Linked DNA regions of Struthio camelus. Each later gene encodes a partner of the first gene's protein in a complex. Links are inferred from orthologs where the notes say so. Each region holds a gene or a part of one and is shown in the gene's direction. Other genes may lie near its edges.

Region 1 (7,936 bases):
GTGATGAGCAGACCCCTGTTGCCTCCCATTTTAACTCTTTTTCACGCCTTCTTCCTTCAGGACAAGCACAAGTTATGGTCCGTGATCTGGACTCCGGCCAATGGAAAGGACCTTTTTCTCTGATAACGTGGCGGAGGGGTTATGCTTGTGTTTCTACAGGTACCCAGCCCAGTTGTTAATGCTACTTTAGCTGTTTATCGCAATACAACTTTATGGTGTAATGTAACATTGGGAATGTATTTGCCCCATTCTACAATGATTCTAGAAAAACGATGAAAACGCATTAGACCATCTACACATCCTTTTCAAAAAGATTGTAGAGATGATCTTACCTTCTGGAACCCAGGAGAGATTATTACGGCATCCATTTTTTACTCCTGGGGTCGCTGCTGCAAATGCTTTAGCAACCTTAAATAAATTAGGGTGTTGGCTTGCCAAGCAGACTCATAATACTGCAACAGCACTATCAGGGCTGCTTACCAATGTTGATTCTATAAGACATGCTACATTGCAGAATCGTGCAGCTATAGATTTTTTATTATTGGCGCATGGCCACGGGGGTGAGATTTTGGAAGGAATGTGTTTTATGAATTTGTCAGATCACTCAGAATCTATTCACGACAGTATAGTGAGATTGAAGGAGAGCATAGCGAAGTTGAGGTTAGATGACAATGATTGGCTGGGACGAGTATTCTCAGGATGGGGGATCACAGGGTGGTTATTAACTATTGTGAAGAGTGGCTTGATTGTATTGTTGATAATCTTAGTCTGTTTGTGCCTGTTTCCCTGTCTTCTACAATGCGTGCAACGAATGATAGATCGCGCCTTCAATCAACAAGCGTATGCAGTTTTGTTAAAACAAAAAGGGGGAGATGTCGGGGGCGATGTGTACCAGAAGACGATTAGGAGCAGCAACAAAGCATTCCCTCAGTGCCAGAAGCCCTGGGAAAGTGTGCATAATATGAAGACTTGTGTCAGTGCCAAGACGGGCAGGTGCCCGTGAGCTATCAGAATGCAGATATTGAAACTAGGACAAGGACGTGAGAGAGGGAAGATAATCTTAATGCAGAACGTGGCTTGTAGTAACGTAGCAAAGCAACTTTAGTCAGTAAACACAGCCGTATTCTTACACAATAAGGGTCCGGTATATAAGAGAGGACGAAATATGAAATAAATAATCTTGCTTCACCATACGCAAGGTTTGTGCCTTCAGTCCCTGCACTGAAGTATTGCAGGAGAGAAGAAAAGGACCTGCCAAAGGAATCTGAGAAGTGAAGAGAAACCACTCACTCGATATGGCTATGTAGCCTTTGCCACAGTAAATACGTTTATTTGGTTAGATGTGTCTAAATGGTTTTGTTATACGTTCAGTGTGGTGCGAATATGCAGCACCTGCTGTTAACAGTGGTTTGCACAGGTAAGCAAGCTTTTGAATAGCGTGTGCTACTGAGCTGGCAGTTTAAACTGACAGATACCAGAACATGCTAGGTTTCAGCTGGCCAAATCCCTAATGGATTCCTGTGTATTTTCTTCCTTTTCATCCCGCCCTCTTACAAAGACTGGAGAGAATGGTAAAGAGGTGCTCTAATCTAATAATAACAGTTCTAAACTTTTCCATTTCTCAATGACAATGAGTAATAATAATACTTAGATTTCGTTAAAACTGTCTCAGGACAGGGATATGAGCTAGTTGTATCGAACTGTCCATTCATCTGCATTGCAACCATTTGCACCAGCCAGGCACAAAGTTCCTGATTCACAGAAGTGCTGAGAACCTGCTGCTCCAGTTGAAGTGGCTGGGAGAGGCAGGCTGTCATCACGTCTGGCAGTCAGATCACGTGTGATTCCGTCTAAGGCTCTCAAATCAGCAGCCTTTTTGCATTAAGTTGGCTGAGATTGGGGAGACTCTGTACAGAATGATACATTACAGCACTGTGCTGGACCCTAATCCTGCATGAAGTCCTAGCTTCTCCTACACAAACGCAGACCGCTTCATAACAGGAATTTTACTGAGATGGAGCTCTATACATGCCATGTTCAATGATCTTATTTCAAAAGAAGTTCTTCAGCTTCCATAAGTTCCTGTGCCCAGGCTGAGGGTTTGTACGTATCCATCCCTGGGCAAAATGGATCAAATCCTACCTACTTTCCACTGAGGTAAGGTTTCCTAGTTTTCAATGAACAAATGTTGGCACTGATGCAAGCAAGGTTCATACTGCAGTGGGGGAGGTAGAAATATCAGCCTGGAAAACATTCAGTGTTTGTTTTTAAATCCCAGGAGAAACATATGAACGTGATGTATCTGGGATTTAGAACAAACAGAGCAGCATATTAGCAACCACACAGAAACAGCTACATGTCAGGGATCAGTTGCTCTTTAAAAGTATAAAAGATGCAGCAGGTCTCTTTCACGATTTCTTGTTCCTACTGTTTCTTCAACAGTGTGTAACACACAGTCTGTCCGTCCTGCGCTTTCCGTTTGCTGTACGAGTGGCCCAAGCAAATAAAAACCCTAACTGAGACTGCTAATTGTGCCAAAGCCTAAATATGGGCTAATGCAGCTTGTAAGCTTAGTGCCTTATTACTTACCGTCACAAACGTAAGCATGTGCTTGTTTGTAGCAGACAAGTCTAAAAAGCAGATCCAGCATGTGCTGAAGTTAGTGGGAGCTTTTCCACAAATATTAACATCATTTGGATGAGATCTGCAGGACTGGATTGATTCTGCTCTCAGTGGAACCTGTGACAAAATTTATTACATTAGCAACAGCAGGACCCTTGGCCCCAGCTTAGTTCCTGACACCCTTAAAGCCACCTGAAGGGATCTCAGCGGCACTGACAGCAGTCACTCTCGTATGCTCTGAGCCATTTACGGAAAGACTTTTCTTTCCCTTTCACCATTATGGGAAGCTGCTCCCTTCCAAAAACTCTCAGACAGGTGTCTTTTCCAGTGTACTTGGCAGGTCACCACGTTCAGGCTATTTTGAACCAAATGGAATGAAAGATTTTGCAAGAGAGCAGCCTGCCAAGCCCCACTCTTTTACAGAGAGGGAATTTGGACAGATAGCACATCCTGCTGATCACAGCTGCGGCAGCACAGCCTGATCAGAGCAAGAAGGATCCTCATGGATGACTCATAACCAACAAGTTAAGCTTCATCCCAAGACAATGGGCTGTCCTTTGGATCTCTGAGTATTCACTCATGTTATTCAGTCCTGATGAAATGCCCTTGCTCGCTGCATTTCCTTTCTCTGCATGAGCCATGCTGTCAAAAATCCAGTCCAGCATGTGTGCAAATACTTAGCCAAACTCTGCTTAAAATCATTCAAATGTGTTAATAACAAAAACAGGATTCAGAAGCCAAGGGGTTGTTTAGAATAATTGTTACTATGTTACTGGGGTTATCATTTTTGAGTTCCAGAGATATATTATTCACTATAGATAAGGATATAGATATAAATATATATATGCACATATGTATAAAATAATAGGCAAGGGCTTCCAAAGCAGGCAGTGGCACAATACAGACAAACTTTAACCAGCATGAAAGAAACAAAACACTCTATTCCTATCACAAGAAAGCTGAACAAATAAATAGCATTATCATGCTGATTTGTGTACTCTCCTGTGCCTTCTCCCTCACCCCCCCCCCCCATTTTTTTTTTTCAAACAACAAAACTTCGGGCCAAATCCATCTGGAAGAAGGACTGACTGAAACTCAGCTTGATTCATTTCCTAATACGGTTCTGGGGACAGCACAGCTCTTACATCTCTGTGTTCTCCTCCCTGCGTTTGGATGGCAGGGTTAATTCTCCAGACTTCCGCTTGGGTTTCCAGGCTGAAGGAGATGGGCCTTGGCTTCGCTGCACCGCAGCTTTTTTCAGCTTTTTCCTTTCTCAACTGCCACTAGAATTTTTGGAGCCCAAAGATCTTCCTGTGTTAAAGGGCCAGTAAGTGACACGTGTCTCTTGCTTTTTTTTCCTCTTAACTAAAAGCAGACCGTACTGCGTCCTGTGCAGCCTAGAGCTGTGGTTCAGGAGGAAAAAAAAAAAAAAAGAAAACATTACTCTCCAGAAAAGTGGTTAAACAGGCGCTTAACTTTAAGTAGGTTGTTTGGCCGTAATGAATCAGTTATATGCTTTTCTGAGTCTGGGCCCTTGTACACCGAGGACTGGCTTAGATGTACTCATACCCAGTCAAATATTGTGGTATTGAATGGCTCACACATCACCTTTACGCATTACATGCGTTAGTGTCGAGCCTGATGGATCAGCATCCAGCCTTTTCATTACCAGTTCTTATCCGCAGCACTGCAGCATATTTTCAGCAGTGCTGTTTTGCATATTATGACCCCCAAAACATCCAGCCCTGCTGTGGCCGGGCTGAATTACTTTTTTTTTTTTTTTTTTTGTCATTCAGCACAGGCCGAGGCAGAGGGCTCCGTCCCCGACCGCCAGCCCCTAGAGCGCTCCCTGTTACGAGGGGAAGCCGCCCAGGGCCGAGCGCGAGGTGATGGGGGGGGGTACGTCCCGTTAACCTGGGCCAGCACGGGGTGGATTATCAGCACCCCTCCCGCCACCCCTTCCCTCTCCGCTGAGCCCAGCAGCACCGCCGGTTCCCGGCCGACACCGCCAGGCAGGCCCCTGCGCGCCTCGCAGGCCTCGGCCGCCCTGCGCCCTCGAGGCCGGCTGCCCGCCTGGCCGCCCCGGAGCTGCGGCTGCAGCTTGCAGGCCTCTTCCTCGGCGGAGGGAGGGCAGGGCACATCCTTCCTTCTCTCTAGCCGCTGCTGTTCAACCCTAGAGAGAAAAAGGCGAGTGGAAGGCGCGGCAAGGGGGAAAGGGAGAAGTGAAGCAGGCGCCTGCGCCTTTAAGGCGTTGCCAGCTCCCCCCCCCCCCCCCAAACCTCCCCGCTTGCTGCTTTTTGACTCTTCGGCCTTGCCGTAGCGCTCCCGGGAGAGAGCGGCATTGTGCAGCCTTTGGCCCGGACCGCGCATGCGCCATCCCACATTCCCCCGCCTGGCGGCTCCGGAGCTGCCGCCGCCGCCGCGTCCCCCCCTCCCCTCCCGCGGCCGCGCTGCCCCCCCCCGCCCCGCCGCGGAGGAGGCGGCGGCGCCGCCATCTCCCCCGCCCCTTCCCCCTCCCCCGGTAAGTCACTGAGAGGCAGCAGCAGCAGCGGCGGCGGGGCGGGATGGGATGGGATGGGGTGGGGTGGAATGGGGGGGCCGGAGCGGAGCTCCCCCCTCCCCCCCCTCCACACACACACCCTCCCTCCCACCCTCACGCGCGCGCGGCGCTGCCGCCGCCGCCGCCTCCCCTCAGGCAGCGCGCGGCGCCCCCTCCCCCCCCTTCCCTTTCCCGCCCGTCGCGGGGGGCGGCGGGAGCGGCGCGGGGCGGGCGCGGCGGCGGCGGCTCTGCGACCTCCTTCCCCCCCCCGCACCGCGGAGCTGGCGGCGCCGCCGCCAAAGTTTGGGCTCCCGGCGGAGAACTTCCCCCGGCGCGGGCGGGCAGGGGCGTCTGCCGGCGGCCGTGGCGCGGGCGGGCGGGCGGGTGTCGGTGCCGCGTGCGCGGCGGCGGCTGGCGGGGGCCGGGCTGCGCGGGGCGATGCCGTCGCGGCCCCCCGGCAGCCGGCGGCGCCTTGGCAGGGCGGGTGCGCGCTCGCGGGAGCTGCCGGATTAGTTCCAGATGAAAAAGATCTGACCTGGGTTAGGAAAGTTTTCATTTCTTATTCTTGCCGTCTGTCCGCGCCGCGGAGAGGGCTTGTAAGAGCCGGCAGGCAACCGGTAGCGCTTAGCTCTGTGCCCTCCCGAGGACGAGGTGCTTATCATGCCGCTGGTCGCTGGAAGAGCAAATGCTGTTGCGCCCAAATCTGCTGCCACCAGCAGAAAAGAGCGGTAGCAGTAGCGGGATGTTGCAAACGTACTTTAAAGACAAATCCTTGGCGTGTGAGCTGGAGGTGAGTCTGTTACTAAGCTGAAATCTGGCGGAGCTGCAGCGGAGATCGTTCCCTCTGCAGTATCAGCGCCGATTACAGAATACCAGCACAGCGCTTTACCAGGTTTTGTTACAGAAAGCAAGTCTGTTGCGACTAATACAAGGCTGGCTCTTAGTCAGGTGAAAGACTCAGGAAAAGAAGAGCGTGATTTGGTGCTCTGACCGTTTAGGGGAGAAACATGAGACTGGAATACTTGAATTACAAGATGAAAGGAACCTAGCAAGATTTTAAGCTTTGGAGATGCCTGTTACTTTCTTCTTTGTATTATGATTTTGTGTTCTGTGTCTTGATACATCTGAAAAAAGGCCTCGGACGGATCTTTCCACCTTCTGCGCAAACCATTGTCTATGGTTTTAAACTATGCTATTAAAGTACTTCTCATAGGCATATTGGGGAGTATTATAGGAAAAACCTTGCCACACCTAAAAGCTATTCTGCTTTATTTCTAATTAACAGGGCAGTGTAAAACAGCTTTCCAAGAAGTGATTAAAGGCCACAGATTGGGTTCTTGATCTTGCACTTTAATAGATCTGACCGCATGAAATAAATGTTGCTATGTTGGTGATGTGATGTTTCCTTAAGTCTGCTTGCAGGATTCAGTTCTCTGGATAAAAGATCCATAGTGCGTGTTTTTCTTGTTTTGTTTTGTCTTTTAACACTGGTTTCTGGGGACCTGCAGTTATGCTCATCTCATTCTTCTAGTTGCTGACAATCTTTCTTTGACAGCTAATGATACTTTGTTTTTCTTCCAGGTTTTCATTTCCAGTGTGATTTCTCCTCTCTGTGGCAAAGGCTGTCTTTTGAAGCAGCACATTCATTCTCCCCTTCAAGCACCATAAGTCTCATTTGCCAGCTTCAGAACCATGGCAACAGAAGAAAAGAAGCCAGATGCAGAATCCACCAAAACACAATCTACTCCTTCCTCCTCAACCAATCAGAGCAAGGTGTGTGTGGGCCTCTGAACAATATCTTTGTAAATACGCATGGAAACTGTCTACATATTCAAAAGGCAAACTAGAATTAGAGATTTTTAAGAAATTGAATTCTGATAGGAATTAAGAACTTGGGATTTCTGCTACTGCTGTTGAACTGAAAATGTGCTAACGATTTTATGGGAAAGCAGATGAAGTACAACCTCTTTTGTGCTAGGGTATCTTTGTTTCTTCAAGTTCATGCAGAGGAAATACTTTTTGTCCCTTTCAGCATTAGAAATCTAAGGTGTTGGAAGGCCTAGACGTTACTGGAGAATAGGTGAATTTACCGTCTTAGTTGCAGGGTGGAGAAGCAGTCATTGTTTGAGGCCTGTGGATGTTGAAGGGAGTTGTCACTGTTTAACCGCAAAAACTGTGCAAATGGTGAGAAGGGAGAATGTTTGGGGTTTTGGGAATGTGGAAGAATTGGTTTGTGATATGATTCACAAAAAGTTAAAGGACTACAAATATTTAATAGCACTAAGTGTTTTATTTTAATCTGTCAGGCGGTCTGTGATTGGACTGTTGGATTACTCTCGCCTATTTATTATTGGTTTGGATGTAATTCATACCAAAGATGAGTTTGTTGTTGTGCATGTGCAGTGAGGCACTGCTTGCTCCAGGCATCAAGATTTTTGTCTGAATTTGGAGAGGGGAAAATGTAAACAGTAGAATCTATTATGGTGACTATTCATGCAGTCTGATACTGTGTAGTGACCTGGTCTAATACAGAACTTGTCATTGAGATATTCAGTTTGGTATTTATACGACTCATTCATGTATGTATGTGTGTGTCTGTGTGTGTGTGTGTATATATATATATATATATATATATATATATATATATTTTTTTTTTTTTTTACAGCCTGCACCAGTAAAACCAAACTATGCTCTAAAGTTCACGTTAGCAGGACATACAAAGGCAGTCTCGTCAGTAAAATTTAGTCCTAATGGAGAGTGGCTAGCCAGCTCTTG
Region 2 (7,789 bases), on another chromosome or scaffold:
GCCAGCGGGACATCCCACCATTAGGTCCCCTTCCCGGGGCTCGCAGCACCCCCAGGCCCTGCCCCGGGAAGCTCACGCGCCGTGTGGTGGCCGCGGGGAGCACGGAGAGTCCGGGCACAGAAAATTTTGGGGTCCTTGGGGAAAGCCGTGCCCACGCCGCCCTCACCTTCCCAGGCGGCGGCACCGGGAAGGCGCTGGCGCCCGGGCCCTGCCTCGCACGCGAGGGAGAACTTCTTCTCCACCCAGCCGCGGGCTCGCAGCAGGCTCCGGATCACGGGGTAGGGGCCTTGCAGCATGAAGATCTTCTTTTGCTGGTGAGGGACGGCGGTGGAGCTGAGCGCGCTGCCCCGCGCCGCAGGGACCGGGGGGCCGGCGGCAGCCCTCACCTCGATGGCCCTCTCCACGCGCAGCCGGACCCGCTTGAGGCGCTCCGGGTTGAGCGAGGGGCGGCCGCCGCCGCCACCCTCCATCGCCGCGCGCCCTGGGGGAGAAGAGCCCCGGCTCGGCAGCCCCCACCTCGCCGCCGGGCCGGGCCGCCGGGGAGGGAGAGGCTCCTACCGTCCTGCCGCCGCCGCCGGGCGGCCGTGGGGGCGGGCAGCCCCTCCGGGAAGGGGGGAGGCAGAGCCCCTTTCTCCGCCGCCCGCTCCATCCGCATGGCGGCACCTCGGCCCAGCGGCGCGACCCTGGAGCTGCCCTCCTCGCCCGCCGGGACCGGGGGGCTCCGAGGGGGCCGGCGGCGTGCCCGCAGTGGGGCTGCAGCCCTGCAGGCGCAGCCCGCCGCCCCTCACCCCGAGGGCTGCTCGCCCCGCGGCCGCCGGCGGCCTGCCGGCCCCCGAGCCATGGCGCGTCCCGCGGCGGCCTGGGGGCACGGAGAAGCCGCTAGCGGCGCTGCCTCCGTCGGACGCCCCGGGGGGAGAAGACAGGGTGCTCGCTGCCGCCCCGGGGCTGGCGCAGCCGTGGCAGGACGGTGCCGGCAGCCTGGAGAGGCCCCAGGCCCAGGCGCCCGCACGGCTCCTCCGCCCCGCGCTCCGGAGCTTGCAGCGCAACGCGTGCGGCCCCTGCAGCCCCCCTCGTGCCCCCCCAGCCCCTCTCGTGCCCCCACCACCGACACCATCCTACCCCCCAGCCCTCCGCACCAACACAGCCCCCCCAGACCTCCTCATGCCCCCCCCCGACCCCCCTTCATCCCCCATCGTCCCCCACAGCCCCCCTAAATACCGCCCCCCCCGGACCCCGCTGTGCCCCGGCCCGGCCCGCACCGTCGGGGCCGCCCCCGCTGTTTGGCGTTGCCATGGCAGCGCCGCCAGGCCCCGCCCCCTGCGCCGCCAGGCCCCGCCCCCCCGCTCAAGAACCGGCGCGGGGAGGGGGGGGGAAACGGTGTCCCCCACCGCCAGGCAGGAGGGAAGCGAGCAGCCGAGTTACAGCAAACGAGGAATTGTTAAAAAAAAGAAAAACAAAGGGGGAAGGGAGGGGAGGGAAAAAACCAAAGGAGGAACGAAGAGCAGGGAGTCGGCACGGTCTGACACGAGCACGGTTCGCTTCAGGACACCCGGTCCTCTCGCCCGTCCCCGCGGACGGCTCCGTAGCATCTGGCGGCTTCTCCTCTCTTCCGCAGGCGGCGAGGCCGGGCTGCGGCCGGCCCCGCGGGGACGCCGGAGAAGCCAGGGAGCTCAGCACCACGGTTCAGAACTGCAAGGCAAGAAGGGAAGGCACAGGGCCGCTGACTGCCGGCTCCTCGCGCGCTCGCCCTCCCCTCCCGCGCCCAGCGTGCCATCCGCGCTGCGCCGAGGCGGCCTCAAGCCACGTCTGGCTGATCAGCAGGGACGGAGACGAACGATAACTGCCGTTCGGCACTGCTTGGATTGTGGAGCTCTGCGCTCACTTCCCTGCCTCCCCTCGCCCTGGGGACCGCGCAGCTCGTCTCAGCAGTCCGCGTCCCGCAGCTGCCGCTCGCGCCCTAGCAAAGCGCCAGCCCGCTGGCAGCCTTGCAAAGCTGGCGCGTCACGCTGCGCTCCTCTCTCACTGAGGAGGGAGCAAAGCGGGCAGTAGCTCTTCCAGGTACCCCCACCCGCTCCCCACGTGATTCCCCTGCCCCAAAGGGCACCTTCCCAGGGGGCTGCCGCCACCTGCGCCACAGACGGGGACAGCCCGGGGCCAGGCTTCCGCGCGCGAGGGTCACGGCAGGCCGGAGCTGCACCCTCGTCCAGAGACACGGGAACCATCGCCTCCCGCTTTAGAGCCTCACGTTCTTGAGGAACTCCTCTGCCACGATGCGAGCCCTGGCGTTGACAGACAGCTTCATCTCACTGATCTCCTTGTCGATCTCCTCCATGAAATGGATCACAAAGTCCACGAGCTTGTGCTTGTACATCTGCTCTGTGTGGAAGTTTGTGATCAAAAAGCTGATGTCGTAGCCCTGGAGAAGAGAGAAGTGGCAGAAACAGTTAGCGCACCAACCCCGTGAGCACACGTCCTCTTTCGGCTCCGGAGACCCCCCTCTCCCCAGCAGTGCCAAAAGCACAGCAGGATGCTGCTCTGCAGCTCCACGGGTCACCTCACCTCCACAGGCTTCCTGCGCAGGATGAAGAAGTTCTCAGCCCTCATCATCATAAAACGCATGAATTTATGGCACAAGATCTTCTCGATCTCATCAGCCTGCAGAGAGAAAGCAGAAGTGAGGCTTCCTCCAAGCAACACACAAGCCACCAGCCTGTTCCCTCCCCTCCCACCAGCTCACCTGTTTCACTGCAATGCTGACTCGCACAGAGTTAATGGATCCCTCTATAAGGACCTTTTCCTTCTCGTTCCTGCTGATGATCACTGGCTGCAACAGCAGCTCTTTGCTGCTTCTGTGGATGCAAGAGAAGCTCAGCACTGATTAACGAGCACTTGCTGGCCACACAGGGCATGCAAGCAGGGAGCTGCAGGGATCACAGCCAATACGGACACTTGGGAGTTTGTTTTGTGCTCCAACACGATGCTTTCCACCTCCCAGGCACACGCATCATGAAGGCAGATCCTCCCTCCTCTTTGCAGTTTCTCAGCTCCCGGGCTGACCAGCCCCATCGCTGCCTGGTGGCAGCTGCTGAGTGCAGAGGCCTCTCCAGCCTGCACAGTCCCCTCGCGTCAGGCCCAGACATGCTAAGCAAAGGCAGCAGTGACTAGATGGGATTGTTTTTTGGTGTAAAAACCCCAACAAGAATTAACCCATCCCAGTGTCCAAAACCAGGACTCAGTTCCCAGTGTCCAAAACCAGGACTCAGTTCCCAGTGTCCAAAACCAGGACTCAGCTAGGCTCAGGAACAGTGCTGGACTCAGTGCACTAAAACCAGAGCAGAGACCGTTTTCCCCGTGCTGCTAAAGCTGAGCTGGCAGCGTCGCAGCACAACAGCTCCACAGGGACACGCTGGCCCCGGAAACCAGCCAGAGGCAGAGCAGCAGCCCGGGGGCAGCTGCCTCCAACGAAAGGATGGCGGAGGGCCCGAGCGGAGCGGGGGCCCCGCAGGCACAGCCGCCCCCTGGCCGTACCTGACTTCCACCTCGGGCTTGTTGTGGCGCTCCACGACCTGCGAGGAGAAGTTCTCCAGGCACAGGGCGGCCTGCAGCGTGGCGCGCACCGCGTTCAGGTACGGGCGCAGCGTGGCGGTCTGCGGGGACACGGCGTCAGAGCTGGCAAACGGTGCGGCCCACTGCCCCCCACCCCGGCTCGGGCCCCCCCACCCCCAGCTCGGGACTGCCGCCCCCCCAAACCCCCAGTCATCCTTCTCAGGCCCCCCCCACCCGCCTAAAACCCCAGCCCGCCCCAGCTGCCCTCCTCAGCCCCCCCACCCCACCCCAGGCTGGGGCCTTCCGCCCCCCCCCCAAACCCCCAGCTCGCCCCAGCCGCCCCCCTCAGGACCCCCCCACCCCCGACTCGGGCCTGCCGCCCCCCTAAACCCCCAGCTCGCCCCAGCCGCCCCCCTCAGGACCCCTCACCCCCGGCCCCCCCGCCCGCCCCCAGTCCACCCCCATCAACGCCCCCCGGTCCGCTGCCGGCCTAGGCCCCGCCAACCCCCCCGCCAGGTCCCTCCATCCGCCCCCGGGCCCAGCCACACAGCCCCCGCCACCCCCCCCCCTACCATGGTGGCGGCTCCGGTCCGGTCCCGGCAGGCGGAAGTAGCTGTCCCCGGCGGCTCCTCTCTTCCGGGATGGCCGGGAGCTCCCACTGCAGCGGGAGGGGGGGTCGGGGGAGGCTCCCGCCGCGCGCCGAAGGGCGCGGGCCGCACCGAGCTGGCCTCGCCTCACCGCGCAGAGGAAAGTGACGGCGGCGGGCACGGCGGCTCGCGATGGCGGTGCGCGATGGCGGCGGCCCGCTCATCCCCCCCCGCCCGCCCGCCGCGTTGGTATAGTCCCGTCACTGCATCCATATTAGGGAAGGCAAAAAGAGCGTGGGCCGGGCCAATAGGCGACGGGTGCTGGGCGCGGCTCAGCCAATGGGAAGTGTGGGGCGGGGCAAGGCGGGCGCGGCGTTGGCCTACGGAGGCCGGAAGGGACGAGCGGCCTAGGCCCGGCCCCCCGCGGCCCTCCCGGCCGCCCCCGCCCCGCGGCGCCGCCGCCCCCCCGCCCGGCCGCGGCACGCGCTGCCCCGCCGGCGCCTTCCGGGCGGCCCCGGCGCCCCCGGGACCTCCCCGACCCCCCCCCCGGGGCTTCCCTGCGTCCCGGCCCCGCCCCCTCAGCGCCCCGGTCCCAACCCCCCCCCTCCGCCGGTTCCCCTCAGCACCCCGGTTCTCTCCACCCCCCCCCCGCTTCCCCTCAGTGCCCCGATCCTTCTGCCCCCCGCCCCGTTCCCCCGAACACACCCGTGTGCTCCCCCCGGTGCCCGCCGCCATGAGCGAGCTGAAGGACTGCCCGCTGCAGTTCCACGACTTCAAGTCGGTGGACCACGTGAAGGTGTGCCCGCGCTACACGGCCGTGCTGGCCCGCTCCGAGGACGACGGCATCGGCATCGAGGAGCTGGACACGCTGCAGCTGGAGCTGGAGACGCTGCTCTCCTCTGCCAGCCGCCGCCTCCGCGTCCTGGAGGCCGAGACGCAGGTGCGGGCGCCGCCGCCTGCCCCGCGCGGCGAGGGCCGCTGGGGCCCGCCGCCCGCTCCCTCGCCTGTTCGTTCACGCCGAGGGGCTGCGGCGGCCTGTTGGGCTGCCGTTGGTGTGGGCAGCGGGCCCGTCCCCAGGCTGCGCTGTGTGGCATGACATGGTGTTGCTCTCTTCCAGATCCTGACAGACTGGCAAGACAAGAAGGGTGACCGGCGGTTCCTGAAGCTGAGCAAGGAGCATGATGTGGGCACTTCTGTCAAACATGGGAAGCCCAAGAAGCAGAAGCTGGAGGGCAAAGGGGGTCACGGGACAGGGCCTGGCCCTGGTCGGCCCAAATCCAAGAACCTGCAGCCCAAGATCCAGGAATACGAGTTCCCAGATGATCCCATTGATGTTCCCCGGATTCCCAAAAATGATGCTCCAAACAGGTGCATGGGGAACATTTGGATCATCCGTTTCCTTCCTTGCAGCTCCTGGCGAGAGGGCTGGCTTGGACCCGAGGGAAGAGGTGCCCTGGAGGGAAGGGGGGGTGTGAGTCGGCCTTTGCCGCGGCCCACGCTGTGCCTCTGCAGCCCCCCCTTACTGTCCGTTTGCTCCGTCCTCGCAGGTTCTGGGCCTCGGTGGAGCCGTACTGCGCCGACCTCACCAACGAGGAAGTCAGAGTCCTGGAAGAGCTGCTCAAGCCGCCTGAGGACGAGGCTGAGCATTACAAGGTGAAAGATCTAAAGCCCACCCAGTCTTGTAGCCTCTCTTCCTGTCTGTTTTCTAATCCTGGGCCAGTCTCCTGTCAATGCAGTCTTGTGCCTTACAGTGAACGCTCGCCCTGTGGGGATGATACTAGTTTTTTCCTGCAAAAGCAGGAATTTATCTGCACACTTTTCTCTTCTGGCTCCCGTGAGAGAGTGTCTTGGCTGCGGCCACGAGGTAGCAACTTGCTGCCCCCGTTCTGGGGCAGTGCTGAGGTTGTTGCTGTGCGCTTTCCTGTCCTTGGGAGGCAGTGCCCAGCTGTAGTCTGTCTGTTCCTGCTGCAGCGTGGTCCCGGCCTGTGAGACTCGTGGTGTTCTTACATGCAGAGTTCCTGTTGTTACATCCAACTTTGAGCACAAGGGACCTCTCTGGACCCTTGTCTGAGAGACCCCAAGCCCCCTTTCCCTTGTGCCAGCTGCAGGGCTCTGTTTGTTCTAGGGAGCCGAGCAGAAGGATTTTACACGCTCTAGGGAAGAGGACCGGCAGCAGACGGTTGTTTTTGTTGTCACCCGCTTGTAAGCGGGTGAAGAACTGGGGAACGGGGGCAGTTGTGGAGATGAGAAGTAGCAGCCAGGATGGGGTGAGAGACTTGGCTGCTCTCACCTCTGCTGCGTTACACGTGTGGTGCTGTTGGATAGCCACAGTTTCCACACGTGGAGATGACATCTCTGGTCTCGGCTACAGAAGAGCCCTGGGTGAGGGCTCCCTGCCTGATCAAAGACGCTGTGACCAGGGCTGGTGCTCGCGGTACCAGCTCCCTGATCTGGTCGTGTCCTGCCAGCGCTGCGTGTGTGACGGGCCCGTGCCTCTTGTACAGTGGGGATGGCTGAGTCACGATCAGGAAAACGCTCTTCCCGTAGCACGGTTTTAGATTTCACTCATAACGTTGTGGTTGCTCTTCCTGTGAGAGTGCAGCTTGTGGTTGCCGCTTTGTGTAGCTTAAAGACTCGCTGGGGTCTGCGCCGGCCGGTGGCACCGCCAAGCCGAACGGCGCCGGGCCAGCCAAAGGGGCAGGGCGGCTGCCGAGGAGCTCGGCCCTGGAGCTCACGGGCAGCTGCGCCGCCTCCAGGGCCGCGTCTGGAGGTGCCGAATTCTGCCATCTGCTCTGCGCAGGAGCTGTGGGAGAGGAGGGGAGGGCCCAGGCCTTGGGAAAGCGGGAGAGCAGCCCTGGGGATAGGGTTGTAGAGCCCCAGGGCAGCCGGGTACTGGCCTGGCTGCGAGCCAGGTGAAGTGTGCGGGGCTGGGTCCTTGGATGTAGGGCCTGCTCCGTGGCACGGCAGGGCCCGTCTCCTCGTGCCTGAGCTCTGGCGCGGACGAGGGCCCTGGGACGCTGTGCTGACCGCTGCTCTCGCTTGTCCTGTGGTTGCAGATCCCGCCTCTGGGGAAGCATTACTCCCAGCGCTGGGCCCAGGAGGACCTGCTGGAGGAGCAGAAGGACGGAGCCCGGGCAGCAGCTGCTGCTGACAAGAAGAAAGGCATCCTGGGACCGCTGACTGAGCTGGACACTAAAGGTGCCTCCATCCCTGCCTGCGTCTGCCCTCTGTGAACGGCCTGGAGGGGGCTGCAAGGCACCTACACGGAGCACAGCCAAGCCCCTGGGACGCTGGCCCTGCTGCCCTGGGGGTTCCTCCCTTTCCGGTGGCTGCCCTGGGGAGGGCACAACTCGAGCGCAGCTGCAGGGAGGCTCAGGTGGCAGAGACAGAATGGAGTAAAGCTGTCCCTGCAGAGGAGAGAACAGTTCACCTTGCACCGGAGTCCCGCTGAGGCGTTGGCCTCTCCCCTGCTGCTCACTGTTTTCCCTGCTTCCTCCCAGATGTTGATGCCCTGCTGAAGAAGTCGGAGGCCCAGCACGAGCAGCCTGAGGACGGGTGCCCCTTCGGGCCCTTGACGCAGCGTCTCCTGCAGGCCCTTGTGGAGGTGAGAGGGCTCGGGATTGCGTTGTGGCTCTGTCGGGCAGTGTCACTGCAGC
Region 3 (7,464 bases), on another chromosome or scaffold:
AGGCAGGGGCACTAACTTGGCAAGTCCCTCCTCCCCCACCTCTATGTGCACCTTGGGACCAGGCCCAGAGTTCAGCCAGACCTGAGGGGACCTCCAGCAACACCCTAATGAAAGCAGGTATGATCAGGGGTGAGGCACAGCGAGAAGAGCGGGACACTGGACTGGTGCATGCACCTTGGTGTAAGAGGGCAGGGACAATGCCCAGCTGAGTCTGTAAAAACTCCACTGACCTGTGCTGGTCCTCATCTAATCCCCACCCTGGGCAGACTTTCTGCAAAATCCACTTGTGGGACAGTCCCAGGTCCCCTCTGGGAGAGGGGAGCCCAGCCTGGCAGTAGATGAGCTCAGGGTTCCCGCACCCCTGGGAGCGGCAGCTTCCCTGCTGCCGATGAGCTGCTATAATACAGACAGCAGTGACCCCGCGTGGGCTGCGCAGAAGGCAGCTGGGGGCTCCCTGCCTCTCACTGGCAGAGGCCCTTGTGCAGGCAAAGATAAACCTCTACAGGCACAGAGCCACCCTCTCGCAGCTGCCGTGCCGGTCCCTTGGGTAGCTCATCAAGGAGGAAGGGAGTGTCTTTTGCATGGGATGACACCAACTGATGCAGAGGCTGGCCTTGCAGACAGCTCTGCTGGAGCTGGTTTAGCCTCCTTTTATAGTCAATGCAAGAGGCATTTTCTCAGCACAGTTCCTCTCATGCTGAAGCACAGGCAAGAGGCTGGTTGGATGTTTTGCCCTTGCCACATGCCTGATTTTCTCTGTTGAGAGATGGGGAGGCTGGCTACAAGCTCAGCTCTCCTGCAGGCGAGGGAAGTGGCAGGGCCTGGAGTGTACTTTCCACCAGTTTAGCTGCCTGTGCTCAAGGCCAGCTCTGTATGGCTGGCCATGAAGGGAAAGAGCTGGAAGAAACTTCTCTGGGATCTTCCTCTTCTTCGGGAGCCATGTCTAAGCACATGCCCTCACCCCTGGCCTCTACCTGAGCTGTGTTAGCCATGCATGTGCCTGGCCATGGACTTCACTGAGCTGGCCTCTGCCCCTGTACTGAGGACTAACTTCCTGGCTTGACCCTGGACCTGATTTGACTGATGATCTGGCCTCTTGGCTGACCCTGGACCTGCTCTTGCAGGACCCTCCTGCACAGAGGCTACACCATGCCAGGGCTGGCACTGCCCTGCCATCACCTTGGCTCCGGCTCGCCTGTCCCGGCGGAGCAGCCTGATCCTGCTGCTCCCTGACAGTAAGTCAGGGTGGGTTTATTCCACCTCTGATGTCAAATGAAAATAAAGATTGTGCGAGTGAGGACAGGATCTCTTTCCAGAGAAGACAAGCAAAGGATTATTGATCCACAAAGCTTAATTTGCCTGCAGGTATATTTAGTGATTTCTTTGATGTGTGGGGAAACATTGCATCCCAACTGACCCAGATTAGCTGAGCGGGTTCTCTTGGAGAGGGCCTGGGATCTGTCTGCGATGCAAACGAGTACTTCAGTCCGGTGTGCTGCAGCGGAAGCTCTTGCTCCGTTTGTGCTGGGCAGCGGCAGCCCCGCGGCAGACGCAGCCCTGCCCTTCGCTGCAGCGGCCGGTGCAAGGGAAGCGTTGTTTGCTGGGAAGGGCTGCCGCTCTGTGGTCAGCTCAAACAGGCAGGTACGGCCAACGTTTGAGAGCTTCCGGCAGCGTTAACCATGAATGCCGACATCAGATATTAAATCTTAAGTCTTGGACAAGCCACGAGGAAAAAAAGAGCACAAACTGGCATAGCCATTTCCATGGCTTGCCAAGAGCAGTCGGCTCTCGGGGAGGGGGGGGGGTGAAAGGGCGAAAGAGCAAGGGATTACTTCCCACAGCTCAAAAACAGTGAGATTAGAAAGACCCGCTTCTACAGAGAAGGAAGTGGTTTCTGATATATACCTTTTCATAACAGATGTTCCAAAATTCAGTGTTTTTTAAAATGATGAAAACTCCTTAATGAAATACAGTGCTCTTAAAAAACAAATACAGAAGCAGTACACTGACATTTTAGTGAGAGTTAAAAAAAAAAAAAAAAAGAAAATCTATTTCCCTCAAAACTTTGGAGTGATTTTTCTTTTTAGCTGCTTCCTATTTTAATTCATTCTGAATTGTTTTCTCCTGCCTCCAGACACCTTTAGTGTTTAAACCACACACAAGATTTCCAGGCTAAAAAAAAAAAAAAATCAAACTCATAAGCTTAATTTTCTGCCACATTTTTTTTTTCTGTGATGGTATTTATAGTAAGTCATTCTGCTTCCACAAATTCCCAGTGCACAGCTCACAAGCGCTGCTTTATTAGAGAAGCGTAAGCGGGCAGGGAGCTAAACAGTGCGGGGGGGGGGGGCGACTCTGCCTTAAACCCACCTTTGTGCGCTCTGGATCCTGCGCTGCTCAGGGCGCTGGGGTGAGGCTGATGTCATCGGAGCAGCCAGATTTTTTGCAGCATCAGCACTTTCTGTGGGTATTTGGGAGGAGGAAGACAAAGCAGAAAGGCATTTAGAGTCAGGATTGTGCTTTGCCCACTTACTCCTTTGCACCCAACCCACACTCTGGCGATACATGGCAGGGAGACAGGGCATGCCAGTACTTGACTTTTCTGGTAAACTGAAAATTAAAAAAAAAAGAAAAGCAACTCCTTTCTGATGGAAATTATTTTTTTCCAGCTTTTCTCCCTGAAATAATAATTTGTAATAGAAGTAATTATAAACATTTAATGATAGACTAAAACTTTACTAATTTAACTAATCACTTCAGAATTGTTTCTGCCCCATGATGAGCCCTTTTAATAAGGGGGGCTTGGACCCAGACGTGCCCCGCAGGCTGCTGTGTGCTGTCGGGAGGAAACAGTCGTCGCGGCTGGCTAATCTCTCCCCTGCCCTCCTCCAGAGCCGGTCAGTACCCACAGATTTCACTGCATGCTAATCCCCTTCGCTGCACATACCGTGGCCACAGCAGTTACTCTTTTTTTCCCAACAGCCGATAGGTAACAATTACGCACTTGTCTGTGCTTGGCCGCTGAGCACAAAAATGATGGATTATCTCGAGAAAATCACCTGAAGCAGAAGAGGTTATTCTCTCACAGTGACAAATACCGGAATATTTGCAGTTGAGAACTTCAGCCTGCAAAGATTTTTGCTCTTCTGTATCAGTTTGGTTTTGGCTTTAACCTAGCATAAAACTCAAATTCTTCATCTTCTTTTTTTTTTTTTCTTTCATTGGCTCTGTAAAATGCTGTATCTATGGAAGAATGCAGAGCTCCCTAGCTGTACAAAAGTGTAGCCAGCAGGTTGAGGGAAGTGGTAATTCCCCAGTACTTGGCACTGGTGAGACCTTATCTGTGTCTGGTTTCGGCCCTCCAGAGCAAGAGACGTCACCAAACAGGCCCAAGTCCAGCGGATGGCTGCTAAGATGCTCAGAGGCTGGTGGGCGTGAGGCAAGGCCAGAGGAGCTGCAGGTGTTCAGCCTGGAGAAGGCTCCGTGGGGATCTGAGAGCGGTCTCTCTGCCTCCAGGGGGCTGTAGAGAGGACGCAACCAGCCCCTCCTCGGAGGTGTGCCATGACAAGAGGCAAGGGGCACAAGCTGCAAAAAAGAAAATTCTAGTTGGACATAAAGGAAAAACTTTTCCCCGTGAGAGCAGTGGCCCTCTGGGCCAGGGGCCCAAAGAGGCAGGGGAACTGCTGCCTTGGAAATACTCAAAACTCAACTGGATAAGGCCCTGAGTAGCCTGATTCGAAGATCGCCCTTCTATGAGCCATTACATTGCTCAGATTACATCCTCCCTAAATCCTTTTCTGTTTTTATGCTTAGGCAGACAAACAGACCTCAGAGAGGTGCTGAACCAGCCATCTGAGCAGCGAAGTTCATGGTGGACCCAGACTGCCAGTCTGCTTTCATTTTTGCTCATATTTCACTGTGTTTTATGGAGCTCTGAAAAATACAAAAGTCTTTTCCTTTACACTTTCTCTGAAAGGAAGCGCTTGTGGCGCTGCCAGTTGTGCACACGAGCGGCTCCAATTATTCCTTGCAAGCCAGCGTCTGGGATCGGTCAGCAAAGGACTTCACTGCTCTCACTGTACCCCCCGAAATGCCGTGTGTTCCCGCCTGCGGACCCCTGGCAACGGGGCCCGGCACGTTCTCATGCAGCAGTATGGCTTTTTCCTGCCATTTTCCCCTACTTTAGCTGCCGGGACCGAGCTTGTGGCCCTCTTGCACACAAGAGGAGCTTGCAATGGAGAGCTGCTGAGCCAGCGCAGGGTTTCGGGCCCGCCCGTGAAGAGCTGCCCAGCAGAGGAGGGCCTCTCCTCGGGCAGGCCTCGGGGGACCACGACGCCATTCCCAGCGCCAAGCTAAATTCGACGGGGCCGCGGCGCCTCCCGCCCCGCCCACCCCGCGGCCCCGCCCCGCCGCATCCGGCCCCGCCCCTGCCGCCAGGCCCCGCCCCCTCCCTCGCGGCGGCTGGCGGCGCCGCAGCCGTGGCGGCCATTTTGTGGCGCTGCGCGGTCGGTGGCGCTGGGCTCGGCGCGCGGAGCGGGGCCCGGGCGGCGGTTTAGCTCCTTTCTAACCCCTTTTTCCCGTACAGATCCCTCGGTAAGAGAGCGGCAGCGCCCGGGCGGGCCGGGCCGGGGCCGGCTGGGCCAGCGCCGCCTGCCCCGCGCTGCGGGCCCTGCGGCGGGGCGAGGCGAGGCGAGGCGAGGCGAGGGGAGGGAGGCCGGGCGCGGAGCGGGTGGCACGCGTCCCCGCGCACAAAGGGCCGCGCCGCGTCGCGCCGGAGCGGGCGGCTCCTCCCGGGCGGCCCCGCCGCAGTCCGGGCCCGATGGCGCCCGCGGCCCCCGGGGTGGCCGGGCGGGCGGCGCTCACGCCCCCGCGCGGCGCGGCCTGGGGCGCTGAGGCCGGGGGGGCCTGGGGCGCGGGCCGAGCGCGCTCCCTCCCGGCGCCCGCGGAGCTGCGCGGCCCGGCGCGGGCAGGTGAGTATGTGCGCGCCGAGCGCAGGCGCGGCGGGGCCCGGCCGGCGGGGGCGGCCGAGTGACCTTGCAGCGGCGCCGGGGCCGGCGCGGGGCCGCGGCGGCGGCGGCGGCGGCCGGGTCTGGGCGGCGCCGCGGTGGGCCGTATCCCGCGGCGGGGCGCGGGCGCGGGCGGGGCCGCGGCGGGTGGCTGCGCGGTGTCGCCGCGGGCTGTGGTCGGCCGGTGGGCGCGGGCGCGGCGGCGGGGGCCGTTGGCGGAGGCCGGCGCTGCTGGCGCGTCAGGAAGCGGCGCGGGGCGCTCCCGGCGGGTGCTGGCGCGGCCCGGGGGGGGCGCCGGCGGCCGCTTCTCGCCGGGCCCCGGGGGACGAAGCGGGAACAACCTTGCACGGGGCAAGGTACCTGCCCTGCAAGGTGTTGATTTCTGTAGGTGGTACCGTCAGCTGGAGGTTTCTGGCCTTTTTGTGTCAGCAGAAGTGTGGAATGCATCTCCTTCCTTCTGGTTTTTCTCCTTTCAGAAAGCCTTTTAAAAAGGGAGGTAAAGACAGGTCCTTGCAATGATCCAAAAGTTACCTCGTGTCATACCTGTTTAACATACAGAATGGGGAGGTGCTGTGTTTTTTTTTTTTTTTTTTTTTTTCCCTAGGAGATCTGAATTCCACTATACTGGCTTATTGCCCCACAACTGGATTATAGGACCAGTTGGCTTGAGGTGCACATGCATAGTATAATGGTTGTAGGGCTTGGTTAATTGAAGCAGGCTGTCAGTGCAATTTTGGGAAACCTTTACATCTCCTTTACCTATTTGAAGTCTTCCCAGTGCTAGAAATGCTTCTTTGATCCCAAGCTAGTGTTTCTAATTTAAACATGTGAAAACAGATCAAAAGGGATATTTGAGTGTGGATGAGTACAAACTGGGTAAAATATATTTCTTCCCTTCTGTTAGTGTAGGTAGTTTAATAATGTATGCTGTAGTAGATGAAACCCTATTTGTTAAAATACTATACTAATAAATAACTTGAAACAACTTTTTGTAGGCATCTGTGCAGAAGGTCATAGCTAAGAAAGTATGTAACAGAAATGCTTTTGATCTAGGTTTGTTTATTTGTTTGTATCTGAGTAAGGAATGCTTCACAGGACCTATTTCCAGAAAAGTGAAGTGAGAAGAGTTACGACAAGGATCGTTCATAGTGTGATTCTCTTTTCAATTTTTGTGTGTCTTAATAGTTCTGTAGTTGAAGAAGACTTGGACTTGTTATTTGATTTAAGTTAGCTTGTGGGAGAGTTCAGTTTATGTTCTGGCTGATAACTTTGTTAGTGTTTCCTAAATGGAAATAAAATTTTACTTCATTGTTCTGAGAGTAAAATCTGTTTGCCTGCAATCCAGGGTAATTAATTAAGGTCAAGTTGGGAATGAGGCTAGAATATTAATTGCTCATAACAGTGCTGTCTTGGCTGAAACTTAAGAAGCGCATAATTAATTCTTACTTTTAATTGGGTAAGTTCTCTGAAGCCACTCTTTTGCTCTTGTACATCCTGGATCACCTAGGCAATGATATTGACCTAAATTCTCCCCCTTGTTCAGGAAAGAGTGTGATCTCTAATTTATTTGTAGGGGATGTTAAGTTTTGTGTAACTGTATCTTTGATCTGTGACTGCATCTCTGGAAACTAAATGGTGTCTGTGGTTGTAATTTGTCAGACCTTGACATAAGCTAACACTGTTATAGAAAAGCCATATTGCCACTTCTCATTTCTGCCCATATGGCACTGTCCTGTGCAGATGTGAGCACTTGGGCTACAGCATTGTGAGCTGAGCTAAAGAATGTGCATGGGGGAGGGTTTATTGTTTAGCCCTGCAAGTGGTTGCCCTTGCTCAGTATTTAAACTGTGTTCTTGATTCTTGCCTAGTTGTGTGGGTGCAGGGTTTAAAAAAAAAAAATAGTTGTAGATATTTTGGATTTACTGTTGCATTTATATTGAAAAGTTTTGTGGAGCGTTTGTAGCGGCTCTGTCAGCAGTTCTACATGTCTACTTTTCTTTTTTTACTTTGTTTTATTTTTTTTATCATTTTCATACTTTTCTTACTTGCTTGTCCACAGGGTTGTTATCTTGTGCTTCCTGTAGAAAGACTTTCTTCAGGTAAGAAATAGTGACTAAGTGCTGTCATCTGGTGCTTACTGTCAAAATGCCAGTAGTAGCATGACCTATATCTTCCAAAAAACTTCTTGGGACTGGTGGCTTTTCAGGCAGTGTTCTTGTAAAAAGCATTTTTTGGTGGATGGAAGCACCAAATTTAACTGATCACTTGTGTGTAGATGTATAGTGTGGCCGTTCTCACTGACTGCAGATGCATGTGGCAGAAAATAGTGCATGTTAGTATGTAATATTTACTGTTTTTTGAGTCTTGCTAATTTGCTGACAAGCCTTTGTCTGTTTTTTACTGGGCTTGAGTACTTCTGGCCAACCTTGCTTGAATACAGCCAGCTGAAGTCTGCCTT
Region 4 (7,292 bases), on another chromosome or scaffold:
AGGATTTTTTTATGTTTTCCCAGCAAGACTGTAGAAATTTGGGGAAAATACAAGTGGTTCTTAAACTAAAAGATTAGTATAACAAAGAACTACAATATAAGTATGTCGCATACAATCACATTCTCTGGATGTTTTGTTTGTGCCATCAGGTATCTTATTTAATGATGTTTATGCTGCGTCTAAGTTTGCTGTGGAAGGATTCTGCGAAAGCTTAGCTATACAGGCACTCAAGTTTAAGCTCCAGTAAGTATGGATCCACAGATGTGAACTATATTTTAGTTTTAAAATGTATTCAGAGCTAGCAAACAAATGTTTTAAGCTTGCTACTGTCTAGGAGAAACAAACTGAGGAACCCATGGCAACTGTACACCACAAATGGCACAGAAATGTTCTCATCCTTCAAATGAAACAAACCCTTAAAAAGGCTTAGATGCTAACGAAGCATGTTATCTTGAATAGCGTAAGGCTGTTTAGCTTTGAACAAAATAGAGGTCAATGTACTTCTTAAAAATACCGATTCTTGCATACGATACCATTTGAATAGAATTATAATACCAACCTGTAATACTTTCCTTTAGAAAGGATAAGAGTCTTTATTTCTTAGACAATCCAAAGATTAAAAAGTTCAAGGGCATCATAACAGAGAGAATGCAGTGGAAATTCATCAGAAGGGCACACAGACTGAGATAACCCCTAGGGGCTGGAGGTAAAAGGAAGGCAAGGAACAATTTAGTGTTGCAGCGTAGTATTTTCTTACTGTTTAAGACAGTATTTAAGAGAATGGTCCAGTCGGTGGCCTGTGGGATTTAGGTGTCTGATTTGTCACCTATACATTCACATTGGCATATTACAGGATGAAACTTTGCTGCTACTTTGTATGTGTGAAGTCCAACAATTGTTAAACATCCAGTGCACCTGTGTATGCCGGAGCATTTAGCCCTTGTGCTGTGGGAGAAGAGACAGCTGCTTTCACGTGATTCCAGAGACAAAGCTGCATCCAAATGGGCGTTTTGCACCCAGCTCTGAAAAGTCATGATGTAATGATATACAGGGTATGATAGAATTTATAAGATTTCAAGACTCTGAGATACAGAGGAAAGGAGGTAAACAAACAAAACGTGGTGCCCAGCAAGTAGAATGGAAAAAGTCCAAGGCCCAGTGAGGAGACTGACAGCTTAAATGATTATATTACGCAAGCGAAAAGGCTGTAATTCCAGCAGCAGCTGGAATTCTGCTGTCAAGGTCAGTAGCTTCTAAGGTTAGTAGTTCTAAAGAAGAGCCTGAGCAGAAGTCATCTCTACGAAAAAGTCCTATCCAAAAGAGTTGTTTCATAAGCATGGTGGCTGGAGGTAAGTACTACCTGAGAGTAGAAATGGAAAACAGTTGGTCAGTAAGTGTACGTATTTCAGTGATTTGCTATAATACATTACTGATCAAAATCTGATTTTCCAGATATCTGGTAAGGCAGCAGCCAAAATCTGTCCATCCACAGCAAAAATCTCCATATTGTATTTTATATAATTTTATAGAGTGCTCTGCAATTATGTAACGCTGAAGGCTTGACAAAGAAAATCTATTTGGGCAGTTTCCTTCCCCCCCCCTCCCTCCCTCACCTTTTTTTTTTCATTTACTTTGAGTATTATCATGTGAAAGCTATGGTAAAGAAATCTATGTAGGATTTTGTCCGGAAAGTAATGAATTTTGTAATCATCCTTAAATTGCTTTTCTTAATCTTTGAGGAGATCTCATGGCTTAATCATCCTCAGATTCCACAGTTGTTAGACAGCAGGTAACAACTGCACTCAGTTCTGCCACAAACTAAGTTAGAACGCTTCCCAGAAATTAAATTATCCTTTTTTTCTACATCTACACGCGGATGGGTAAGAGCTGCAGGCCAGAAATGTGGTATGGATCACCATTACAGAGTGTACCATTCAATATTGCTTGCTAACGGGTACTGTAACTATTCAATATCCTTTAAGAAGGATAGCTGCATGTATTTCCCATGCAGAAGACTCTATAACCAGTGTATCTTTGCTCTTTGAACAGGTTAAGTCTGATTGAACCCGGCCCAGTGGTCACAGAGTTTGAAAGAAAAGTTTTTGAAGATGGAATGAAAATGGATCTTTCAGCTGCAGACAAGGAAACAGCTGAGATGTTTACTAACATTTACCTTAAAAATTACAAACAAATTTTCCAGAGCCTGGGGCAAAGTGCTGAGGATGTTGCAGAGGTAACTCATCAACAATTCTCTTTTTTTTTTTTGGGGGGGGGGGGGGCGAGGGGATGTGTGTGTTGTAATTTAAGAATTACCAAAGAGTTTAAAAGACAGTTGTGAAACCGGTAAGGTACAATAAAGGATATAGTTTCCGTTGTTTGAGGCTTTCTGCAGGAAGCAAAGTCTGGAAAGTTGGGGGAGAGAACAATGACTTCAGGTGCTGGCTGCTAAGGGATAGCTTGGGTGTCAGCTGAAGCTTCCTGGGTCTTGTTGCAAAGTGCACCATTCTCACCCTTTTCCAGTGAACTGTAAAAGGAGGTATCTATCTATTGAGGGCCTACATGGATAATCTTGAAGGACTACTCAGTACACTTAGGTGTAAGGTGTCATCACCATAGTCTAGATGAACAGAAATAGGATTAAGAAGAAATAAGAAGTTTTTCTTTTGGCTTAAAATTGTTCTAAGAAACAATTCTAATTAAATTCTAATTAAATTTCATACAGGGTTTTACACAACTCTAAAATTTATTCTCCCACTCTTCCTCTGCCTAACTTATCAAAATAATAATTTAAAAAAATGATTTTCAAAGTTCTTTAACGATTTACTTTCTCGTTCTTGACAGCATACAGTAAAGATAATTCTTGCAGAGAATCCGCCTTTTCGCCATCAGACCAACACCTTGTATACTCCGATGACAACTCTGAAGTATGCAGATCCAAATGGAGATCTACCCATTGATACATTCTACAAAATGGTTTTTCATCATGACAAAGTCTTCAGCGCGAGTCTTAACTTTATCAAACTGCTAAGGTGGAGAAGTAGAAAGAGCTTTGACCTGGGAAAACCCTCACAATAAATGCCAGTTTATTCTGTGTACATCTGAATAATTTGTTCTAGCTACTGATAACACAGTATGTTGTTATTAAAATGTATTTGCTCTGTAATTGTTAAAAAGGCAATCAAGATGTTTGTTTGAGCTTAGCTAAGATATTCAGCTCAGTTTATTTATCTTGAACTTTACAGTTTCCAGACTCTTGAAAGTAAAATCTTCTACAGGTTTGGTCAGTTTAGCTCTTGCCTTTTACAGAGATCAGTTTTTGTGGAAATGTGAACATTAATTGACATTTATGTATTAAATACTAATCTGATCCCCTTCACTTACTAGACTATAACATAACCTGAGATGTGTACTGCATGTAAATTATGGATAGATTCTCAAATCATAAAATTATTTTATCCTTCTGCTTACTAGTATGGTAACTCCTCAATCACAGTAGCATCACACTTCCAGAAATCAGGACTAACTGCAGAATATACAAGAAAAATACTCGTCAATCCTTTAAAAAGTGCAACTAGAGTATTTTAATATTATTTTTACATATATATATATATATATCACGTTATGAATACTTGCTTTATAGGCAGTGGTTACTTGCTGACTACAACTAGTGGACAATAACATTTTTTTTCAATTGCTTCTTACCTTGTTGTATTTCCTGCAAAAACAGAACCTTATCACTAAAAACTAATGTGAATCCGTTCCCTTCCTTGGGCAATTTCGACGTTAAAAACACTGGAGTGGCTTTGCTTCCCCTTTTAAAAGGAAAATTACACGAAACTCGCTACGGCAGCAGGAGCCGTCCTCGGCGGCTGTCCTTTCCCCAAGCCCCCCTAAGAAGTACCGTAAGCAGGAGGTGCAGGTCCTTCCCTTTCCCTTCTCTTCCCCCTAGCGCCGCAACTCGACTCAGACCAGGCCAGCAGCCTAGTTTCAACCGCGGCTGGCCCGGCGCGGCCCTCCGCGCTGCCGCCGGGCGTGACGGAGCGCCGCCGGCCACGCGCGGCAGCCCGCGGCCCCGGCAGGGCCGCGCCACGCAGCAGCCGCCCCCGCGCCGGGCTCACGCCCCGCTCGTAGCGCCGCCCCCCGCTCCCAGGCGGCCCGGCCCCTCCCGCCGTGCGGCGCCGCCGCCCGCCCCCTTCCGGCGGTCGCGGCGAGGGGCGGGGCGGGGCCAGGCGGCGGCGGCGGAAGCTTGACCCGGCTTCCGGCGGAAGCGCCGTGGCTGGCAGGTCGAGCCCGTGCTCAGCCCGCGCCGCCGCCGCCGCCGCCGGCCGGGGGAGCCGCCGTGCCCCGCCGCGCCGCGCCGCCCCGCCGATTTGGCCGCTCCGCTGCCCTCCGCGCGGGTCATAAGGCGGCGGCGCCGGCGCCCCGAAGGATGTGGCGGAGGCGGCAGTGGCAGGCGCCGCGGCCGAGGGAGCCCTGAGCCCGGGGCAGCGCTCGCCCGCTCCGCGCACCGGCCCGCGACCCCGCCCGTCCGTCCGCGCCGCGGCCGCGCCGCGCCTCGCACCCCCCTCCCTCCCCCCCCGCCGCCGCCCCGCCCCGGAGCCCCGCGCGGCGGCCGAGGGGGAGCGGTGAGCGCGGGAGCGCAGCGCCCCTCGGGGAGCGAGCGGCAGCCGGCATGGCCTCGTCCTCGGGCAACGACGACGACCTCACCATCCCGCGGGCGGCCATCAACAAGATGATCAAGGAGACGCTGCCCAACGTGCGCGTGGCCAACGACGCCCGGGAGCTGGTGGTGAACTGCTGCACCGAGTTCATCCACCTCATCTCCTCCGAGGCCAACGAGATCTGCAACAAGTCGGAGAAGAAAACCATCTCCCCCGAGCACGTCATTCAAGGCAAGTTCCCGCCGGCCCCGGAGCCGCCTGTCGTCCTGCCGCGGCGGGCGGGCGGGCGCGGAGGGAGAGCGCGGGCGCCGCCGCCGCCGCCGCCGGGGCGGGCTGTGCGCGGGGCTGCCGCTCGCCCTGCGCCTCTGCGGCCGGAGCGCGGCCTCGGCCCTCCCGGCGGCCGCGAGGCGAGGCCGGCTCCTTAGAGCCGGAGACCGCCTGGGGAGCCTGCGCTTCTGAGACGTCTTTCTGGCTGGAGACTCCCAAAAGGGCTAGGTCGGGGCAGGTGGCGGGGGCGGTGCGGAGCCCGGTCTTCAGTCCAGTCTCTTTGCCTGGGTCACGTAAGGAGCAAAACACACCTACGGGGCTGCCCGCGCAGCTGGATGGCTCAAGAATCGAGGGTTCCTACCCGCTCTAGGAAGCGTTTGGACGTGACATATGCTACTGCATCTTTTTCTGCTGTTGACTTGCACTTCCTCTTGCTGAATAAAAAGAGAGTTCCCTCATTCGTTTTTCTTTAAATTCTTCCACAAACAGGAAGACTTTTTTTAACCTTATGCTGAAATCTCGAGTGGGCTTCTTCTGTCCAGTTTCATTCGTATCTGGTTTCATTCGCTTTGCTGCTTAAGCAAAGGTTGTCGATATCCATGTCTGCTGCAAACAAATGGGTAGCAATGATATTGAAGGTGGCCAAAGTGCTTCATTGTGCTGCCTGGTAGAGCTGTTAAGAGTAGTATTTGCAGTAGAGCTCTTTCCAGGGCTGCAAAGGTATCGGGTTAATGGGAAAACGATATATTTTTTGTATGCTTTGTTTTTGTAACAGGCTAATAGATTCTCTACTTAAACCAAACAAAAAAAAAAGCCCAAAATCAGATTCCTTTGTGTTATGCCAGCTTGCTCACCAGAAGCGTTTCAGTAGCTGACTGGATTTTGAACAACAGAAGAAAATACTATATATGAGCTTTAATGTTGAACGTTAAAAGCATGCATTTTAAAATTGGTAACAGGAAGTTCAGAAAAGCAGCTCAATTACAGAAGTTCAGGATGTAAAGGGTGAAACTTTTGCTTACGCGTGGAAATATACTTGTGATATGAAGCTTCTTAATACATAGAAAGTTTCTTCACGTGATCACCAAAAGATTTGAGCTCAGTCCTTCACATAAGACTAGAGATGGTCTTTAAGGTTCAGGACAATAAATAGTTCACTTAAAGTATTTTTCTGCCCATTAGTAGTGGTTCTTGGAAAACTTTCGCTTGTTGCTATCCTAGGGTTAGTCTGGATTTTTGAAAACAAATGACACTTTTTTGATAGGATATCCAAAACTGTAAGAGTAAGTAGAAGTTGAAATCTTAGGACGGTGCATATATCATCATGAGATGGTCCCCAAGCAAATATTTTGTCTATGCCTCCTTCTATGTCTTTTTATCATCAGATTCCAGGGTTAAAAAAAGGTTAGTTTCAAATTAGATCTGTCCATTTTAGTCACATTTTTACCAAATAAAGCTTGGAGGTGTATCCTTTTTATGATACTCCAGAGGAGGAAGGAGTTGTTCTTGGATTTACTCTTGTCCTTATCTTTAAGGATGTGCAGGTGCTATTCACTTCTTCCAGACAGTGGTCAGTTAGCAGATGATCTCTCTGTGGAGTGTGAGGATTTAGATCAGTCATTTTGGAACTGCTGAGGTTATGTGTATATAGCCATAGCATTTCAGCATATTTGTAATTAGGTCTTCATACATCCTAGATGTTTGCTAGTTTGAATACCTCTTGGCATGGTTTTGCCACAGTGATGCTAACAAATTCAGTAATACACAAATACGTTGTTGTCTTATGGTCATCTAGATATCTTAGTCCTTTCAATTGCTTAAACTAGCTTATTTAGAAGTAAAAGGAGGCTAAGGTATGTCACGTCACACCTGGTCCAGTCTAAATAGCAGCTGCTGTCAAAAGCAGCCTTGTTCTGTGCCCTCCCTGGAGCTGGATCTAGCAATCACACAGCCGCGGGGTGAGCTGGGGCAGTTGGAATTGGGAGGGTGCATAGTTTTCTATCAGGTGAGCTTGTTGATCTGACTCTTGCAGACATGCAGTTACTAAATTGAGTGCAACGGGCAGGGAAGGCGTTTCACTGGGAAGGAGGATGAGGAAAGAAGGTAGATCTGCTCCTTTTGGTGACACCCTGCAGTTAGACTGTGGTGGAGGTAATGTGAAACTGCAGTTTGTCACTGTAGGCAACAGTGGTGCATAAGTCACTTGCTCCTTCGCTGTGCTAGCGAAAACGATTGTGTGACCATGTGGTGAACTAGAGCCTTCTTCCTTGCTGGGCTGTGTTCAGGGGGAGGAATTCCCTGCCCCGTCTCACTGTGTGGTAGCACAAACACTTGCCCTGCACAGTGCTGTGAACCAACATAGGG

The links.
Region 2: WDR5 (region 1) and TADA3 share a complex: the UniProt entries of both Homo sapiens proteins name them as parts of the ADA2A-containing complex. The link is inferred for Struthio camelus from reciprocal best matches to the Homo sapiens genes WDR5 and TADA3.
Region 3: WDR5 (region 1) and PHF20 share a complex: the UniProt entries of both Homo sapiens proteins name them as parts of the NSL complex. The link is inferred for Struthio camelus from reciprocal best matches to the Homo sapiens genes WDR5 and PHF20.
Region 4: WDR5 (region 1) and DR1 share a complex: the UniProt entries of both Homo sapiens proteins name them as parts of the ADA2A-containing complex. The link is inferred for Struthio camelus from reciprocal best matches to the Homo sapiens genes WDR5 and DR1.

Annotation. Positions count from the first base shown.
Region 1 is NC_090961.1:4,664,578-4,672,513, reverse strand, and holds the start of WDR5 (WD repeat-containing protein 5), read left to right. Parts: upstream 1-4,924; 5' UTR 4,925-5,143; intron 5,144-5,564; exon of another isoform or gene 5,565-5,951; intron 5,952-6,742; 5' UTR 6,743-6,853; coding exon 6,854-6,934; intron 6,935-7,826; coding exon 7,827-7,935; intron 7,936-7,936.
Region 2 is NC_090955.1:9,933,962-9,941,750, reverse strand, and holds the start of TADA3 (transcriptional adapter 3), read left to right. Parts: upstream 1-4,783; 5' UTR 4,784-4,866; coding exon 4,867-5,073; intron 5,074-5,250; coding exon 5,251-5,501; intron 5,502-5,680; coding exon 5,681-5,786; intron 5,787-7,189; coding exon 7,190-7,331; intron 7,332-7,633; coding exon 7,634-7,737; intron 7,738-7,789. Other genes in the region: tubulin monoglycylase TTLL3, read right to left, coding at 167-311, 387-470; ARPC4 (actin-related protein 2/3 complex subunit 4), read right to left, coding at 1,684-1,689, 2,246-2,416, 2,560-2,655, 2,738-2,849, 3,529-3,647, 4,119-4,121. UniProt on the Homo sapiens protein: Functions as a component of the PCAF complex. The PCAF complex is capable of efficiently acetylating histones in a nucleosomal context. The PCAF complex could be considered as the human version of the yeast SAGA complex.
Region 3 is NC_090959.1:1,298,319-1,305,782, reverse strand, and holds the start of PHF20 (PHD finger protein 20), read left to right. Parts: upstream 1-4,451; 5' UTR 4,452-4,593; intron 4,594-7,065; exon of another isoform or gene 7,066-7,105; intron 7,106-7,464. UniProt on the Homo sapiens protein: Methyllysine-binding protein, component of the MOF histone acetyltransferase protein complex.
Region 4 is NC_090949.1:18,518,199-18,525,490, reverse strand, and holds the start of DR1 (protein Dr1), read left to right. Parts: upstream 1-4,279; 5' UTR 4,280-4,672; coding exon 4,673-4,892; intron 4,893-7,292. Other genes in the region: retinol dehydrogenase 8, read left to right, coding at 150-243, 2,050-2,233, 2,842-3,075. UniProt on the Homo sapiens protein: The association of the DR1/DRAP1 heterodimer with TBP results in a functional repression of both activated and basal transcription of class II genes.